4 linked regions of the Drosophila melanogaster genome follow. The protein of the gene in region 1 interacts with the protein of each later gene in a pairwise test. Each region holds a gene or a part of one and is shown in the gene's direction. Other genes may lie near its edges.

Evidence for each region.
Region 2: the proteins of CG14086 (region 1) and CG32579 interact in a two-hybrid assay, tested with the Drosophila melanogaster proteins (one large-scale study listed by BioGRID).
Region 3: the proteins of CG14086 (region 1) and CG4686 interact in a two-hybrid assay, tested with the Drosophila melanogaster proteins (one large-scale study listed by BioGRID).
Region 4: the proteins of CG14086 (region 1) and Kr-h2 interact in a two-hybrid assay, tested with the Drosophila melanogaster proteins (one large-scale study listed by BioGRID).

What each region holds. Positions count from the first base shown.
Region 1 is NT_037436.4:19,274,287-19,280,470, forward strand, and holds CG14086 (uncharacterized protein), read left to right. Parts: upstream 1-1,504; 5' UTR 1,505-2,306; coding exon 2,307-2,433; intron 2,434-4,642; coding exon 4,643-4,703; intron 4,704-4,753; coding exon 4,754-4,828; intron 4,829-5,098; coding exon 5,099-5,347; intron 5,348-5,411; coding exon 5,412-5,538; 3' UTR 5,539-5,633; downstream 5,634-6,184. Other genes in the region: CG14089 (uncharacterized protein), read right to left, coding at 5,840-6,184.
Region 2 is NC_004354.4:16,321,667-16,325,639, forward strand, and holds CG32579 (uncharacterized protein), read left to right. Parts: upstream 1-1,619; 5' UTR 1,620-1,801; coding exon 1,802-2,031; intron 2,032-2,107; coding exon 2,108-2,263; intron 2,264-2,412; coding exon 2,413-2,543; intron 2,544-2,782; coding exon 2,783-2,935; intron 2,936-2,989; coding exon 2,990-3,399; 3' UTR 3,400-3,454; downstream 3,455-3,973. Other genes in the region: CG9917 (uncharacterized protein), read right to left, coding at 382-1,287.
Region 3 is NT_033777.3:19,862,893-19,867,399, forward strand, and holds CG4686 (uncharacterized protein), read left to right. Parts: upstream 1-1,603; 5' UTR 1,604-1,940; coding exon 1,941-2,033; intron 2,034-2,096; coding exon 2,097-2,405; intron 2,406-2,524; exon of another isoform or gene 2,525-3,521; coding exon 3,522-3,665; 3' UTR 3,666-3,977; downstream 3,978-4,507. Other genes in the region: CG4572 (uncharacterized protein), read right to left, coding at 1-1,278.
Region 4 is NT_033779.5:6,069,403-6,074,461, forward strand, and holds Kr-h2 (kruppel homolog 2), read left to right. Parts: upstream 1-1,587; 5' UTR 1,588-1,785; intron 1,786-2,810; exon of another isoform or gene 2,811-3,011; 5' UTR 3,012-3,053; coding exon 3,054-3,274; intron 3,275-3,331; coding exon 3,332-3,581; intron 3,582-3,637; coding exon 3,638-3,771; intron 3,772-3,834; coding exon 3,835-4,060; 3' UTR 4,061-4,559; downstream 4,560-5,059. Other genes in the region: Pfdn1 (prefoldin 1), read left to right, coding at 1-87, 157-364; CG9154 (uncharacterized protein), read right to left, coding at 406-776, 831-990, 1,047-1,187. UniProt on the Drosophila melanogaster protein: Member of the dosage-dependent hierarchy effective upon white gene expression.

The sequences.
Region 1 (6,184 bases):
AGAATCCTCGAGCTGTTCCTTAAGGAAATTAACTTTTCAGAGTGTGGGGCATCTGTGAATTATGTCGTAGATGGCGGCGACAGTGGAGACTTTCCTTGGGGCGACGGCTGCCACTTTGGATGTCATTAACGCCGCATAATGCAAACAAGCCTGACGACAGACACCTTAGCAAATGCACAGGACAATAAGCGGAGGAGCTAAAAAAATATTTACTCGTGCTTCCCCTCTCCTGAATTTGGCCCCCATTTAATTTATGAGGATGAGGGCGGTGTAGCAACCGAAAATGTTTTTGTCCACATTCTGCGTACTCGTCCGCCTCTTGGCAATTGCTCAGCTTTGCTCCTGGTTGTCTTTTGAGCTTCTTTACACCTCCCGCCGCTCCGCTCACCATTCAGCCAGTTATGAAAATTACTGAAACGTGGCCAAAGACGGGTGCGGGGATCCACAGGACCTGCAGGACGAGGGCACGCACACACAGAGCCGCTTGAGCAGTGGCAACAACATGAGGCACTGGCTTCACACACAGGACAACGTGACAAATAAAATCAAGCTGGCTTTGAGCAGTGGGCCGAGAATCCTGTTTTAGGCTTAAAACTTCAATATTTGTAATAGTTAAAGATTATCTTTACACCTGGTAGAATATTTATCAAGTGCATATAAGTAAGATTTTCGTTGTGTAAAATCGTAGGTAAATTTCATACTTCCCTCTTCTTTTACATTTGGAAAAATCGTAATCAAGTAAGCATTCGGGTGGGAATATATTTAAATCACACACAATATTAAGCTCTCGCCCATGGTGCCTTCTTGTAAAAAACCGCAGGACTATAAAGACTGACCCAATGCGCTACGCTACACAATAAATCGCGAGAGGAAACACTTTTTACAAAAAAAAAGAGATAAAACATACAAACAGTTCTAATTAAAATACTGAAGACAAAAAGAAAATTAATTATTTATTTGAGTTCCTTAATTATATTAACAATGTAATTCAAAAATTGTATTCCTACTACAATACTAAAAAAAAACCAAGTTAAATAACTTCTGATTGAAATTAAAGCATTATTCTAGTTAAAAATCAGCCCTATATTCTTGCTTTCAATTAATATATTTCAAGAGCATAGTTTTAAAGAATTCTCATACTGCCAACGCCAAATAAGTTTTCAAATACAAATGATAGTGGATGTCAAAAACAGCTAACCAATTAAAAACATCTTTAAAACAACATGGATAAATTTTGCGGTCTCCATAAATCTCAGCATTAAATCGCAAAAACGCATTTAAAAAGAAATAAACACTACGCGTTCGTTCTCGTAACAAATCAACTTAGCAGTTTCGAATGCAGCGCCGCCCCATTGGCTGGTATTTGGCTACAAAGTCAGTGGCAGTAGGAAAAGCAATGGGAAAAGCAGCCTGAGCGGCGACTCTGGATCCTGACTCCGAAAATAGAAACGAATCCTGGCCGGTCCTTTCATTCAGTTTCATTCTGCTGGCGCCGCTGGAAGCGTGCGGACGTTCGTTGTTTAGAGCTCGGCCATAAAGTCGTGTGGCAAAGTGGCACTTGACAAAAATAAAAAAAGTTACAAACCTTCAACAACAATAAGAAAAATATTTAATAAAAAAAATATATATTATAGAGGGCACACAACGTGCGGGGGCAAAGTGCAAATGGTAACGGTAATTTGCAGACATTAGTTGCCACACACACACACACACACACACACAAGCAAACGGTGCGGTGATTAAAGGCAATGGAAGGAGAGGTGCGAAAAATGTCACATTACGAATACGCAGTGTGTGCCCGAGTTAAATGGTGAAATTTAAAAGCTGTGCGAGCTGGAATTGAAAATATTTATCGCAAAGTTGTTTGGCCACTTAGTATGCCAGGCACGTAGTGCATTTTTGTGATGTGGATACGGCTCTTTGATTGTTTTATTAGCGATTCCCTTGGACAGGACCTAAAACGTCAGTTTCGGATGAGAGTATTTAAAGTTATGGAGGATTAGAAAGTAGTACATTGAAAATTTGAATTTAACCAAAAACTAAAATTGTTCTAAAGTGAAATTAAAAACGAATAAATATATTAAATAAATTGGAAATTAAGTAAGTGGAGCTTACACATTAATCAAAAATTTAAATGCTATGGCTTCGACTTTTGTCATCAGTAATAACGAAGGAGAAGAAAAACTTGAGCTCCAATAAATAAGATATTAAGAATAAAGCCGCACTTTTGGCGATTCATAAAACAAATATAGATAGAAATTCATAAAGTAAATATCTATATATATATATATATAACCAAGTCAGCCATGAGCCAGATGCAACTGCAATCGCAGCGCGTTCGCCGCGCCCGTCATCATCGCCGCAATCAGTCCGCAGAGCCGTGCGAGTGCCTTCGTCCTGTGATAAGGGTTTTTGGTCTGCTGACTTCATTCGGTAAGCTCAAGTGCGCGGAAATCCGAGCCAGTGGAATAAGACTTGTCGGTGCCGGTGCCCAGGTGACCCCCGTTTCGAGATAATGCCAATCTCGATACGAGGCTATGATGCATGTGCATGTGCATGCATTTATGTATGAATGTGCAATGCTTTTCTGGCCCTTATTTGGAATGTTTACCCTTGACAAATCGTAGGAAATACTTGTGCATGGGAACCATTGCCTCGGGATATGTTGAGTGCTGTGGCTTATTATATTTCTTGGCACTGAATGGGATTCGCAAGACGAAGACGATGCTGAATGGGGACACGCTCTTATTGGCTGCTTTTATTGTTCCTTTCAATTCATATAATATTACTCTTTGAGCAATATTTTCATTGTACACAAAGGTTTTGCATTTGTTTGAGAAGACTGGCAAAATAAATGTACATAAAAGGAAATGGTTTTCCATATTCACAGAGCACATATAGCACAGAATATGTGCTCTAATGAACAGGATATTTGACCTAATGTAATTTGGTAAAATAAATAAATGCCATCCAATACTACTGAAATTCCAGTTTAGCTTAACAATTAAATAGAACACAGAGAGTAAATTGGTAGAAGATTAATTTCCCTTTTTTTGCGTCATTTAATTACAATTCAATTATGCTTTTTTTGTACAACCCAGCTTTGTGTTACATTTTTTCCGTTTAAATTGAGGCAATAATTTTAGATTGACAGCCTGAAATTTAATGGCATTTCGTTTGTCAATTTACGAAGTCAAATTTAATTTATTAAACAGGCAAGGTAAAGTGAAGCAAAAACTTAATAAATAATAATATTACCTTTCTGAAATGAATTCAGTTTGGTTGCACAACGTAACTTTTTCACCCTGTATCCGCATTCTAATCTACGAAAATGCAATCACATTTTTTCATCCCAATTTTTCTGCCATCTGGTGAAGTTATCAAAGTTGGCTTAAACGCTTATCGTGGCCAATCATAACGATTTTCCTCCACCATCTGACATTTTCCTAATGCGCTTAAGATAGTGCACCGCCGTTTTTTTATACAGAATTTGATAAATCGCCCAGCTGCAGGCAGGCCAACAAAAACTTCGGGTCAAGTTCAAACTAATTTCTTTGCAAATTGTTTTGGGGTCCATCATGGGTGCAGTGGCACGCAGGAAAACAAAGTATAAAATCTCTGTAGTTCATAAGCTCCGCATTATAGGGATCGGGTAAGAGGGATGGGGTTTTCCAAGGAAACTCTCTGGCAGAGCCATTAACAAGGCATTGGCCTCTATGCAGCTTGCAGCTTGCAGCTCACGACTGGCATCCTGTGCCAAGAGCAGAGTTTTCCCAGCCCGATTTTCCCCTTATCAGCAACTTTTCCATACGGTCGACAATGAGCTGTGTTGTTAGCCTTTAGGCGCCAGCCATTCGCCAAGTTTTCCTCTTGCCCGGCATCTATTTTTCCCCCACCGCTTTCAATTATCCAGATAATTTTTGCATGTTTTTTCGATTTCCGCTTTTTCAATTTTTATCTCCGTTGACAGCATTTAATGTAATTGGTTTGGTTTCGGTTCTGCAGTTGTGCTTAAATATGGGGCATACATATACATATATCTAACTGGCTAATCTGATTGGTTTTTCGCGACCCGGCATAATAAAAACAACTTAATTAGATTGTATTTTTATGGACCACTGGGCGTGGTGGCTCCATAACCACATCTAACCATATCTTATACACTCAAAGTGGATTTGGCTAAGACAAAATGTGAAGCGGAACCATAATGTGGTTAGAATATGAATGCCCTGCGGAGGGCTGTTCGACAAAAATATAGAAACCTTTTAAGTTATAAAATTTAAGTTCGTCATGAATATTGAAGTTTCTTCCAAGCTATTTATTATTAATTATCATTATGTTATTTCGTAATGTGTAGGACATTGCCTTCTTAAAATACTCTATTGCAAATGATGTAAGCTTCAGTAAAATTGCGATAAACTTCTTGAGCTCACCTCGTTTCCATTCATTGGTTTTGTATTACATTTTATGGCCAAAGCATGGTAAACAAAAAAGGCCCAGCTCAATAAATATGCTTATAAATATATTTGCCTAGACACACTCACATTATTTTATAGGCTCGTTCAAGGATAACACTCCTCGTTTCAACCCGCCAAAAAGGACCCCCCGCACCGAACCTTTCTTTAGCCATTTTTCATTTCAGTTATCTGCGGCGTTGGCGTTGATGTCTACATGCATGGCTATCGGGCCGGTCTTTATATAGTGTAAGTCACGGATCTAAATATCCCCCATAACTATACTAATTTCTGGTTAGTTTTTCAGCCGTGCTGGTAATGTTTATCGAGATCAAGTGGCTTGTGACTATCTTCCTGCAACTTCAGTGCGCAGAGTAAGAAAACTATTCAAGATTACCAAATAACATGTTCATAAATTATAGTTATTCGTATATATATTATTTGATAATTAGCAGTTATTATTTATGAAATATAGAAATTCTAGTTACCAAGCCTAGTAGTTGTAAAACTAATTAAACCCTAATTATACTATAATATGATATACTTTACTATTATATACAATACTCTATATCAAGTGCCTTTGCTCAGATTTTTCTCTGCAAATTTTTCTCTGTTCACATATTTGTGAATTCAATTTGTTTCAGGGATAATTACCAGCGAAGGTCCTGCAGCTGCTTGGCCTGCTGGCGACTTTCAGCGATTTGTGGCGGTTGGCGACCCACTCCTGTTTATGCGGTCATCGGCATCTGCCTGATCCTGTATCCCCACAATCTGTGGCTGAGTTATGTGGCCGGGATGTTCCTGATACTCCTCGGACTCCTCAGACTGTGCACGCTGCTCCGATTCAGCGCCTCGAAGGAGGAGGGTCTCCTGCCGCAGTGCGACTTTGAAAAGTGATGCCAGCCAACGAATGTCTTTGTTATTTGTTTCTAATGTCTGTTTGTTCTGCGATGATAGGGTGTCGAGCTTTGTGGATACCATGGAGGATGATTTCGCGGAGATTGGTGCCACGCAAGCGGGATTGGATGAGGAAGCGGAGGAGGAGGGCGACGACCACACCGCCCTAGACGACGATGTTTGCTAATAGTTTAAGCCAGCTTTTCTGCCTAATGTAATGTGAGATTTTAAACGACTTAACAAATGTCTAATAATATACAGTTTGTAAAGAGGTTTCGATTTAAACGCTGAGTGCGTGGTATATTTTTATAGGTAATCGATAAACCCACACTTTGTATGATTTTTGGTGTCATTTATAAACGAAGCCACTCAAAAGTCAAAAAGGACATTCTTCAAAAGAATTTTGAAAGTTCCTTTTAAGTATTGGGTATCTGCTTTTTACCTACAGAAATAATTATCAAAGCTATTTCGTTTTAAATAATGTTATTTTAATTTCGTCTTTTATTGTTTTTTGTGCTAAACGGATTTCTGCGTTCACTAAAGGCCAAAATGAAGGGCTGGTCGTCGAATTCTTCGGTTTTTCTCAGACCAAAAGAACGCTCATTGCCGTAATCATACTCGTCCTCATCATAGTAGTTATAGTAGTGCCTCTGGTGGCCTTTAGGGCCTCCATGTCCATGTGATGGAGGAGGAGGAGGTGGAGGATACGGATACGGTGGATATGAACCTCCGGGATATCCAGGAGGACCCTGAGGACCAGGTTGGCCAGGGATTCCAGGCATCCCGGGGTGGCCCTTATCTCCACGCGGCCCCTTCTCGCCGGGATCACCCTT
Region 2 (3,973 bases), on another chromosome or scaffold:
CATTAGATAAACGCATGACAAAGGCCAGAAGAATTTCTGATTCAGAAGTAAAACTAGAAGGAAGTATAAGCATTGTTTACAATACTACATACATACATACATCAATTGGCAATTAATTACATAAATTAGAAGCACCAAACAAAAACGATATGGCTGGCTAGCCTGGAGCAGCAGCACCTTGGCATGCTTATCCCCGAAAGCGGTTGAACTATGGACACCTGTTCCACGGCTACATGCATATTAATATAAGCGAAGCAAAAGCTTAAAAACAGTGATTATCGTGCTCTTTGATTAATCGCTTTGGAATGCCAAAGTCAAAGCGTTGAGAAGGCGTTTTACAGATTCGGATTCGAGATATATAGCGGACGCCCAGACTTAGAACTAAGAAGACTTTTGTAGAGCGAATCGCAGGATTAGCAAAAAGATGCCCACATGGGTCCACACTTGATGGAATACCCGACTCCCTCCGCTGGCGGCAGCCGCAACGAGCGGCGATTTCTGATTGTCACGGCACATCGTTTGGTTCCGAATGAAGTTGAACATGGACTCGACGAGATTCGCCGGTGTTATGTCCGAGCATTGCTCCAGTTTACGGACCACACACGCCTGCAGAGTCAGCATCTCGTCGCACTGTTTCTGACCGACCGTCAGCTTGGGCATGCTCCTGATGCGGTTGTCCTGCAGATCCGACACGTTCAGGTACTCGGAGAACGTGCTGTTCACGCACTGCTGAATGTTGTCCTTCTGGGACTCAATGCATTCGGGTCCCTTTTCGGCAATGAACAGGGCTATCTGATCGCCATCCTTGTGGCACACAAAGTTGAGCAGACTCTGGATGATCTGCTTAATGACATCCTGGCCCTCGCGCTCCTCCTGCACCAGACAGGGCACCAGTTTGGCCGTGAACGCATCCACACACTCGACGGCATTCGAACGCCGGCTGCAGTACTTGTTGAAGACCACATCCAGTTCGCCCTTGGGCGACGCTTCCTGTATCTCCTGCTGCATTGCCGTGTAGTTGACAATGCCATTGAGGCACTCGGTTAGCACCATGAATCCGGACTCGATCTCGCCGTATGCCTCGACGCCCGCCTCCTCGCCGGCCACCTCGATGCATTTGTTGCGAAATAGCTCCTTGGCGTCGTTCACGCTAAAGTTTGACTTCCTCAGCTGGTCGGGCAGCTGGGTCTGGATCTGATCCAGGTCTAGCTGGGCCATTATGCCGGCAGTGGCGAATATAACCAGCCAAATGGCGTATATCGCATGGCTTACATATGTCCTGTGCATGATGTTTGCTGTATTTTTTGCACTCCTCTTTGTCTTTTTGCTTGCCTCCTCTTCCGTTATTCTCCTTTGCTCTGGTTTTTAAGCTCTGAGATTTGCACTTTTGTTTGTGATTCTATGCGCTTCAAGCAAACATATTTGTTCGTTTTGCGAAATATGCCTATGCCTTTGGGCAATTGGAAAAAATTAATTTAATTAGGAAATCACTGGATGGAAATCCCAATTGGAGATTCTATCCCACCCGTCGGCTAGAGATGGCACTTCGTCGATGACGCTTTCGATGCAACAGCTCACTATCGGCTTTCCGCCGATAAAAGCGTACGATCGATCTATCTCTAGTTCAAATGAACAAGTTCTCGTAGAATTCAGTCTTTATTCTAATCTTCAGTGTTTTGTTTTTTTTTTTAGTCGAAAACCAGTGTCAGCAAGTTGAAGGCGAGAGTAGTTTGGAGGTCGAGGCCTTGGATATTTGTGTGTGGCTAGGGTGGCACATGTGCAATAAGGAGGCGGAGGAGACATGGCCTCCGCGGAGCAAAGAACCGAAGTGGACGCCCTTATGATGGGGCCGATCTCGAAACTAAGCATGCTGCTCACTGTGGTGTCCATTCTGTGGCGCTTCGTCTCGATTTGCATCAACTGGAGCCTGGCGTACGTGTACTGGATGGAGGAGTCCTACGGATACTGCGCCTGGACCATTGGCTCCATTCTGGTGCCCATGGTGGTCACATCGGTCATATATATACATACGTATGTGACATATCGCGATAGCGTGTACTTCCCCCGAAATCTACAGCTAAACGATAAATTTGTATTTGAATTTCAGCTTGAAGAGCGCTCATGCCGGCGAAAAACGCATCCTGGAGCGAGGGGTGTACTCAAATGCTGTGATCTCATATCTCTTCCGCGATGTCTATGTCCTAAACTATGCGTTCAAATACTCGTTGGCCAAGGAGCGGGATGACAAGCAGGCGGAGATCGAGTGAGTAATGCTAGTGTCAGTGTATAAAACTAGTTAATAGTAGCTTAATGCCCTAAATGGTAGTACTGCCGTTTAGTTTATCTTCTCTTTTCATCATAAGTGAGCACTTTAGAATGTTTATAACGAATATCTGAATTCTTATCTTACAGATATTACCAAAAACTCATGACGGAGGAGTGCAATGTTAGTTTCGTTCGTCTATTCGACTCGTTTTTGGAATCAGCACCGCAGAAAATACTACAGCTGGCAATTCTTTTGCAATCGACATTGGAGTTCACATGTAATACGATATTAATACTACATTAGTGCCATATTTCAATCTCTCTCTCTCTCTGCCTTAATTAAGATAACTAATGCATAAGTAATTTAAGCTTATAAACACCAAATTCTGACGTTCACTTTCGCAAATCAAAGTCAGTTTAGGCGTTTAGCCTAACTCATTGATTGTAGCCAACGAAAGTGAAACTCGGAATGGAAAGTCGATGGATGCCATTTACCCATTCAAATTTCTTTTCCCAGACTACCGCCACATCGCCCTGATCGTCTACTTCGGCAACATAGCGTGGTGCATCCAGGCGTACAATCACTCCAATCGCCTGGCCCAACTGGACAAACATGATATTGCGGCGAAGGGACGATTTCTGCAATTTCTCTTCCTGCTCTGCCTCACTGGTTAGTAGTAGTTAGTTAGCTGTGTTGCTTAGAATGTGTATATTAAGCTTTTAGTTATTCGCTTTTATTTCGTAGTTTCGAGAACGCTTTGCATCGCGTATGTGGCCAGTATTTTTCCCATCGAAACGCTGATCATCTGCGCGACACTGGCTTGCTTTTACGGCACCATTGTGTTCTTTGTGGACTCGCCAATGATCGCAAAATCCCGCCCCATGAACTATTCGTACTGCCTGTGCTTTGGCGTTGTCTATCTATTTATTTTTACGCCCGTCAAGGATGCACCAACCAAATATAAGTACGCCTTCTATCTCACATTCTGTTTGTTGCAAAATATCATCGCCTGCGCTTTGTACATTCCCTTGTATCTTGCCACAGCCATCATTGCCTTGTATATTGTCGGAATTGTTCTGTTAATAATCTACTACACGTACTGCCATCCAAATACTGTGCGTACTTATTTTTAAAATTCTAGCATAATTAGTAGCATTTTGTATATTTGCAATAAACGTTGTTATGCCCACTTGTGATGCGCCTTTGATTTTCAATTGGCTTAAGCTGGTTTCAGATCTAATCTAATATCTAATATGCATTGTGTTTTTATTAGAGGATATATACATACATACATACACACATATGTATATGCAAATTTGATTTCATTTCTAGATTTTCTATCGATATTTGACCATCGATTAACTGATAGTTAGGTTTTAAATTTAGTTAGAACTTTTCTTTGTAGCGGAACATCAACTAAAGGATATATATAGATATATATAATATAAATGTGAACTATATGAATTGAATGTGACACAATATAGTCGCACATACATATATATGTACATACATCTATGTTTGTATTTAAGTGTCATTAAAAAGATGTCATATTTATGTGTTAATCCCGTGTACTTAATTTGAAGCGCTTACTAAATATTTTTCAAATGCAATGCCTTTCTGTTCAACTAGTTCCCAAATATTGATCAGCAAATGCATCATAATTGAATCGATCATTCCAGATGCGCATGCGCAACGCGCCAAGATGAT
Region 3 (4,507 bases), on another chromosome or scaffold:
GTACTTGTCCGAGCCGGGGAACTTTAGTTGGTTGAGATAATTGCGCGTCAGTGGATAGGCAACAATAATGTCTAGCTGCCCGCTGTAGATGCACACAGTATAGTGGGCCAGCAGTTCGGCTATCCACGGGGCCACCGAGTCCATGATATCCTTCTTCAAGTGAAGTTCCACCTTGTTCTCCTTGTCCAGATCATGGAATGTCTTATTGCCCACATGAATTGCCCGCCGAGTGGCGCCCGCCTGCAGAAATTCGCCCAAGTTGGCGCCATCATCATCATGCGTCTTCAAGTAGTTGTAGTACCAGTTGTATCCAGTAAGGTTGCTGAACAGTGAGCCATTGGTAAGGTCCCCGTTGATTAGGGAATCAAATACGTCGAAGGCGCACTCCATGTCGTGACTCTTAATGCATTCAGCACCCTTTGCCTCGGCATCGTGGAAACTCTGCAGTCCGTGCTCGTCGATCAGGCCCAGCTGGTAGAGATAGTCACCGTACTTCAGCTGATGCAGCGGATCCGAGAGACCATTTCCGATGGCCACGCCCTTGAGCGGCACATAGACGCGGGTCTCTATGGCATTTTGTACCTTGTGGATGTGGTAAGCCAGGGCGGGAACGTATTTTCCGGCATAGGACTCGCCGGTGACCCAGAAACCAGAGGAGTTGCTCCACTCGAAGAGTTCGTACAGCTGCATCACAGCCTCGTGCAGATTGCGGCCCACATCCTTCTCGTTCGTAGCATAGCCGGCATCGTTCTCTGTAAAACTAAAGCCAGTGCCCACGGGATTGTCAATGTAGATGAGATTGTGTGTCTTGCTCCAGGTATAGTTGCGTTTCTGAAGCTTCCCATGACCATCCAACTCTAGTGGTCCATTCTCTGTGAACAAACCGAAGAGCGAGGAGGCACCTGGTCCACCCTGAAGCCACAGGACCACTGGCGCATATTCCGGCTCCTGCTCGGCGGGGAAGTACCAGAAGAACATGTTGGATTTGAAGCCAGGGTCCACGGTCAAATAGCCGGAGTAGCTCTCAACGCCATGGAACTGGGAGCCTACGACGCGGGCCAGCTTTTGAACCTCTTGCTTGCTCATCGAAGCATTGTTGATCAGGGGCGTCAGGAACAGGGGCTCCCCGGGATCGACACCATCGTCAAAGAACTGGTAGCGTGGATACGGATTGATGAAGCTCCGCCTGTAGGGGCGTTCCCCCTCTACTCCTTTTGCTCCGCTTATTGCGACTATAGTCGCGATAATTAAAAATGCGCAATGAGTTGCAGTTTTCATTGTTCAACTGCGCTGATTCGACTGAAAAGCGATCGAATTGTCAGTGGTTGCTTTGCTTATTCAGCTTATGTATATGTATTCTTATATTCTTATTATCGCCCCGACCTGCTCACGAATCGGCCGATAAGGGGTTTAAATCAGTTCTCTCACTTGCCTTGCTTTTATTCGCACAGCCGGCGAAAAAATTTAGCTTTCCCAATTGAGCAGCACTGATATTTCAGTGTATCCGCACCGGTCAAACGGTAGGGTTGTCAAGTGAAGCGAATTTATCAGCTGTGATTTTTTACTAAGAGCGACTTCTGAGTTATGGATTGCAAGTAGTTCTTTTGTCGGAATTATTAAAAATAATCATCAACTAACTCTATATTGGTTTAGTTTTTCGCAAATAAATGAAAGCTTGAATTTGAAAGGTTTAACCAGGGATATAAAAGTCTCCAAAGTACCTATATATGTTCTGTTTTGTTGCTTATATCACCATTTCTTCTCACTTCAAATGGTAAGAAATTCTCGTTCCCGAGGCATTCATATTTCTAGAATCCAAACAATTGGCAACATCGAATACAACGGCAGTCCGGCAAGGCCAGGGCATTTTGCGTCAAAATTTGTAGTAGCGCCGCAGCTGATTTTCCATCGCCAAACAAAGTTTGAGCAAACAATACACAATGTCAGTCGCTGACACCATTGAATACGTGACCCTGGGCAATCCTGTCAGCAAGATGGTAGCCTCGTCCGCATCCGCCCTGCTCCGCACGCTTGTAACTAATCGACTTTTCCTAGACAATGTTCCGGATTTATAATTCTTAACTGTCTTCCTGCAGGGTCTGCGTCCCAAGAAGGTGCCGGTGCAGGAGACGAGTATGGCGGTGCTCCCTGCCGCCCACAGCTACGCGCATTCACACGGATCACTCTATCGACTGGCCGGCTGCCATTACCACTTCATTCGGCTGGCCGGGATCGTCGGCGCGTCGGCCATCTTTATGGGCGCCTACTGCAAGTACGTCCTGAAGGACGTCAGCGATCCCAAGGAGCAGGTGGACTCGCAGGCCTTTGCTGATGTGGCCAATCGCATCCACTTTCTGCACTCCTTTGCCATGATGGCCATGCCTCTGGCCCACTATCCCGTATTCGTAAGTTTAAATGGAAAAAGTCAAAATTTGTATTTCGTTGAAGATGTGCCTGGTTAAGTCCTACCTCCGCCAGGCCCATCCTCTGTACTGACCCCAAGGAAACCATTTATCATAATTGATCTCGGTCGTGTATTTGGTTTATTTGTAAAGCTTTCTTTGTTGGTTTGTCATTTACATAAACTCTGTGTAAAGTTAGATCTCTGAACGGAATTTATAACAACTCGCGTTACTCTCGAATCGAAACTCCAACATTGATACTCGAATAATTGACTCTCTGCTTAGCTAGTCTAATGCGCTGATTGACATTACAAAATTGAGCTATGAATGAATATTGATTTGAGCCAAGCGCTTTCTCCAAGTTACTTCTTTATAATATAGGTATGCATATGTATATTTATGTTGTATATGAAATGTTTCCAAAGCTAAAGCTAAATGTTCAACAACCACTAATTGCAGCTTACAAAGTAATTTTCAATACCACACACGATACTTGTATAATAATTGCGTTAATTCGGATAACTCTTAGGTTTGTGATATGAGCAGGTTCATAGCTGATATGGGTTCGGGGTTTTGGGTAGGAATTTGTTGATTTACTCTCTTCATAATTACAATCGTATGTTAAAAATGTACCAAAAAGGCATAGATTTTCTCGTTTTTGCTGTTATCTTGTAATTGGTATTTGTTGTCATCAGCCTTATTTAATAAGTAAAATCTGGGCTTTATCGAGCTCCGTTTTGTCGACGTTTTAAAGCTAACAACTAAAGCTAACACCAAATATGCACTCAAAACGCTGGCCATCTTCGCAAACTTCTACTCCTAGACTATAAACTATAGGGCCTGTTCCGTTTTAGAGTTTTCTGATTAAGAAATGTAAATGCATTTAGATAACAATGTGACTTAAATTTTGGGTAAACTATTTGCAATTTGGAATTTCTTACATATGTATATCTTGATTCCTGACTAAACATTTAAATGCTATAAATTCTTTGCATCCTAAAATCGTTTAATTACAATAGTCGTGCTTAGCTTTTCATATAGATTTCGAGAACAGTGGGGCTTGGAACAGGCCCAAATGACTGTGGTTACTTAAAGTAATTGGTTTATTTCCTCCCGCAGACTGGCACTTTGATGATTACGGGCATGATGCTTTTCAGCGGCTGCATGTACTACCGCGCTTTGACTGGCGAGAAGCGTCTGCAACCGTACGCGACCGTCGGAGGATTCTGCCTGATGGCCGCGTGGCTGTCGCTGGTCCTGTAGGATGCGCGGGGCAGGCCACCTATCTATATTCCATGTAGCACATGCTGAACTGCAATTTAGTGCAGAGGCAAATAAAGCTAAGCCAACTCTAACATACAACATCATCTAACATAATACAACATCAACTAAATATGAGTTACTATATCCGCTTTTAGCCATTATTTACAATAATTATAGTGAGGGCTTTGCAGCTAATGGAAGATACTTTTGAGTTAAATGCGTACAATCTCTTAGTGTATATAGCAGGCTAATGTAAGTCGCTAAATCGTTATAATGAAATAAAACAAATAAAAACGTTTTAACAAAAGAACCAACCGAGCTGTTACATTTATTGTATACCTGTACATTAATAAATTACTATAAAAACACTCATATATTTATACTAGGCGTAACATTTCATAGAATTCTCTTTTAGTTTTTTCTTTTTTTGGGGCTTTTCATTGGGTTTTTTTTTTCTTTAAGGTTGTTATTGTCGTTTTACTGGAACACATAATACAAATGCAATGCGACCTTTTGAAGGCCAATGCACAAAGTTCAGCTAAAATTAATTATTGCACAATTTGCAGTTTATATCAATCTTTCTTTTTTTTAAGGTACAAAAACATTTAGTCCCTACGCTCCTCTAACATCAGCTTATTGTCTTGCTGTTTGATTTCTCATCAGTTTCCTAGTTTTATACACCTGACTAACTATTATTTTGATTTGTACACGTCTTGTAAAAAGTTTCTCAGCGGCAGCTCAGTGGGGATGTCTGCTGGCGCCGCTGATGGCTTGCTATCCTAACAACTTCTGCTTGGAGGCCTCCGCAAAGAGGAAGGTCTTCTGAATGCCCGCATTGGCCG
Region 4 (5,059 bases), on another chromosome or scaffold:
CGACATGAAGTGCGACATGGTCAAGACAGGCAAACAAAAGTACCAGCTGACAGAAAAGGGCACCAGCAGCTTGGCCGACGACACAAGGTACATAACTAGAATCACAATTAATCATCTCCAGGTGTTCAGGTGGCTAATTGAACTGTTTCCCTATAGAGTTTACCAGTCCGTGGGTCGCATGTTCCTGCTTACCGATGTACAGAATATGCGCGAGGACCTGAAGGCTAGGCAGGAGAAATGCGACAAAGCGATAGAACTGCTGGAGAAGAAGAAGGAGTTCTTGCAGAAGTCCCTTAAGAGCCAGGAAGACGGTCTGCGCGAGTTGGTGCAGCAGCGCAAGGAAGCCGATCAGACTGCGAAATAGACTACAACTCCAAACTGGCATTTATCCCTCAACGCAATTGCTTATTTATTTTCAATATACTCGTCTAAATTGAAGTTGGCGTAGCTGACAAACTTGTTGCCCAGATTGCGTTCGTGTTCCGGGCGGAAGCTGCACTTGAGGACGGGCAGGCGAGCGGTTAGCCAGGGCTCCACCACCTCACCGGAGCACAGGATTACCTTGCTCTCCTTCTGGTTTCGTTGCAGCCTAGTGATTATTTCACACGTTTTGGCGATGCACTCCTGGGACAGGAAGGGCGGGTCGGCCACGATGAGGTCATATTGCTGGTGGTGCTCTTTGAGGTAGTCCGGGTTGCTCCCTACGCAGTTCAAGTCGTAGTGCACAAAATCTGTGCCATAGGCCTCGAAACGCTTGTCGAACTCGAATATGTGCACTACAAGATAGAATGATGACAATTCATTCATAATCGTTTCACATGTCCACTTACCTGTGTCATGTATCTCCCTGATGTCCTTGTAGAGCGATGGGCAGGAGAGCAGTGCTATACTAAAGTCACCCGAATCCTCCGTGCGCTCCGCCAGAAGCTTACGCACAACATCACGCAATGCGTGCTTGGTTTCCGTGCTGTACCAGAACTGACTCAATTGCTGCAAGCGAAGAGAGTTTCACCATAAGTTTCTAAGGTATGTGCAGGTGCTCTTGCCCAATCCTCCTCGAACTGGGCATCCTTGCCGGTCTTGTTGGCGATTTGATTCTCCTCCTCGGCTTCGCGTTTTGATCTCTCCAACAGAAATTCGTTTAAAATGGCCAAAGTGTCGGCGGGCAGCGAGATGTCGTCGTCCATAATTAATTATTTGCCACTAAATGAATCTTAGAGCATTCAAATCAAAATAAACCAAAATGTGCGTTTGAAGATTAGAGGTGCGAAATTAGCGATACAAATGAGAACTTATTGGGGGGATTCCAGGCCTTGGCGCTGTTTTCAAATTGTAAATTATTAGAAACTTAGGCCAACTGCGATATTGAAATTATACTTTCAAAATAATATGCACTTTAACCGTATGCAAATCGATTACCAATTTTAATTTATTTTAAGTTATTTTATTAATACAACTAGCTCCAGAAACCTGTATCGTAACTTTTATTTGACAACACATTTTCAAACTGTACTGAATATTTAGGCGTTTAATCGACAACTAAAACAGCAACTTTCAAGTACGTGGTCTTTAAATTTCGTAAGATCGAGAAAGCAGTGCGATACAAATCGGTGGCAGCCCTGTGTCAGTTCGTTTTTATCGAACTAGATCAACTTTGCCCGTCCATCTCTAGTTCGCACGGGAGCCCCGACCAAACTGATACGTATTAATTTACGAGAAAAACTTGCGTTTAATTCGAAGTCACATCATATCGCAGGCTGGAACGTACCTGCTGCTAAGTAAGAGGTAAGTGAATGGCCAACGTGAATTAGGAAAAATCAGTGCCTTGCCGGAAACGAAATCCATGTGATTAAAGGCTAACTTTCTTCGCTTGACGTCGTTCCCAAATCGGATAAAAGTGTGCTGCTGGCCCAGTAATTACACTGGTGAATTATGCAGGTCGGCATTTGGACTCGCTCCGCGACTTCCGTGCGGGGGAGGAAGCATCCAATCCCCAAGCGCAACCGTTTCGAATTTCTACAGCGCGGCGCGAAGAGCCCTGCACTTTGATTTCGTTGCCGTTCATTGTGGAGTTCAGTCGGGTCAATCAGCCTCAATTTGCGAGACTTACCTTCTGAATCTCTGACGTGTACCTACCAACCAAACTGTCCACTATGTGACATCATATAATTGGGCTTCCGACTCCGGACTATTGCATGAATAATGTGCGCGCGGGTTGACAGGTGCTACCTTAAATTGACTAGGTGACCCACTTCCGTTGAAGGACCCTCCGTCCACAGATCCCAATCGATACGGCTGCCCCACTGCCAGTCTCATTACTCGACATGTAAATCGAAAGTACACGTAGGATGGACCCCCTCGGTTGGGTTTACTTAATCGCTCAGACCAGCCCACTCCCCCTCCCATGTTTCACCTGTTGCCACCTGTTTGTGTTTCAATATTTTGACGTGTATTTCGTAACAACATGCACATTGTGCGCTGTCTTGCAGTTTTCTCTTCGAGCTTCGTAACGAAATCTTTGCGTTTAGTGCGCTAGGCATCATAAACCGCATACTCGAGAAATATAATTGCCAAACCGTAAGAGTACATGATACTTTAGCGATGGCTTGGCTGTTTTCTTTTTTTGGTTGCCTCATGCAAAGCACTGTCCGTAATGGTGGGCAAGTCATCTTGGCTAAAGCGAACATTAACACGACTTTTGGGCCAGCCCGTTCTCGTTTTAAGTGCGTTTGCCAGCCACTTTCCATTTGACTGGTTTAACAGTTGGCCCTGACTTTCAATTAAGACGTAAAGCGCTTGGCACTGAGAAGCGTAGTGCAGTCTAATCCTGGAGTCATAGAGGGCAGATCTTGCGGGCTATTCATTAGGTTGGAACCCTCACACATCAGATAGCGCCGCAGTTACTTAGCCAAGGTTCTCTTATCGCTGCCTATGCCTAAGATAGCAGCCAAATTCCCGCCGATAAGGCCGAAAGTAGAAACCTTATACTGATTTTCATAACTGCCTTGCAGACTGAATACTGAACGGAAAGCGAGCACGAAAGCTACTTCATCATGAGCGCACCCACCGACCAACCACCGCGCTCCGAGGGCGCTCAGACCAACAGCTCCGAGAGATCCTCACAGCAGCAGGAGCAACCGCAGCAATCTCAATCACAGAACGTACCGGCCAAGCTCCTGCAGCATTTTCAGACAAATCGCATAGATTCCGCGCTATGGGCACTACGTCTGCTGGTCATCTTCTTCACCGTCAGCTACGTGCTGCCCATCTTTACGTGAGTACACGCGTTTTCCACATTGACCTACTCTAATTTTCACTTACTTCTCCACAGCTCACAACAGAGCGCATTCAGCAAGGTTATGCTGGCTAATGCCGCCATCTCTGCCTTGCGTTTGCACCAGAGATTGCCCGCGTTCGCGTTCAGTCGGGAGTTCCTTGCTCGACTGTTTGCCGAGGACTCGTGTCATTACATGATGTACTCCCTGATCTTCTTCAACATCCGCCCATCGCTGCTGGTTCTGATTCCCGTGCTGCTGTACTCAGTTCTGCACGCCTCAAGCTACTCGCTTAAGCTGCTGGATGTAAGGAAAGCAATATTTCACATTTGGCACTTGTCTAATAAGAAATGTACTTACAGCTGATTGGCCAGAACTCGTGGTGGGGTGCCCGTTTCATCATCTCCATTGTAGAGTTTCAGGCGGCGAATATCCTGAAGGCAACTGCATTCTGCGAGATCTTCATCATGCCTTACGCCATTGTGCTGGCCTTCATGTGAGTTTTAACACATATCTTTCGAGGGGAATGCACTCCAATGCAGAATACTTTCAATTTTAGGAACCACGCTGGATTGATGACGCCCGTTATTTACTACCACTATCTGGTGATGCGCTACAGCTCGCGACGAAATCCCTATCCGCGCAACGCTTTCGCTGAGCTGCGTATAACCTTCGAGGCGCTGGCCGCCCGCTCACCGCCCGCCTTTGCCAAGATCATCCGTGGAGGCATTGGGTTCGTCAACCGCTTGGCGCCGCAGCTACAGCCGGCTGCAGCGCAAGAGTAGACACGACAAGCAGCTAACGGAAAACAACAATCAAATGACATATGAATAAGGCTATTTAAATACCAGTTCACTTGCATAGATGTTCACACAGGAGATTGGGGTTCATCCGTTTTATTTGTTAGCCGAAATTCGTTGCACCTTTTCGAAGCGAAACTAGTTGTTTTACACCAGATTGTTTCGGCATTTAAGTTTAAATTTATCTATATATTATTGTAGTTTTTTTTGAGTACATCATCATGCTTTTTTCAACAACACACAATGTGGCAACGCACGAATTCCGCCATGGAGGATCAACGGCGCGTATTACTATATTTATATCCCAAAAACAAATTATTTCAATTTGTTTTGCTTTAACTTATATGTTCAAAATACTGATCAAACGAAAAACATGGACAGCTAACGCTGTTAGTAATTATTTACATATATTTTGTATGAGTGTGTAAAGATTCGAAGAACCAAACAAAGTAAAGTAAAGTTAAATAAAACATTTTGAGAAGGTACTAGAATTTGGACTACAATTTTTTCTGGTTGATTGGCTTTAAATCTTCTGCTACTGTATTAAGTGGTTTGCACTTAACTTGTTTCTTCTCAAGCCAATTAAAAAATGATATCAATCGTAATAATTTTCGTATCATCCTTAAAGTATGCAATACCTTAATTTCTCCACTTTTGGTCAGCGGGCTCAAACAGGTGAATGGAAGCGTTCCCCAACATACTCCAGATCAGGATCACTAGTCGATTTGGCCATGTTCCAGTCGGACACGAATAGTAGCAATCTAAGCACTTTTGTACAGCGCCGAAGCATCAACCCACAACGAAACTAATGAAATGATTTCTGGGTGTGAGGCTAGGGCGTTGGTAGCTTGTCGTTGGCTCTGGACTTCTTCCGAATTTCCACCAAGTTCAATGAACTTCTTGCGCAGCGCCAAAAAAAAAAAATGTTCGTCCAAATGAGGGTGAAGGCACCCGAGCTTTGTTGTGTTGTGTAGGTGAAACGAC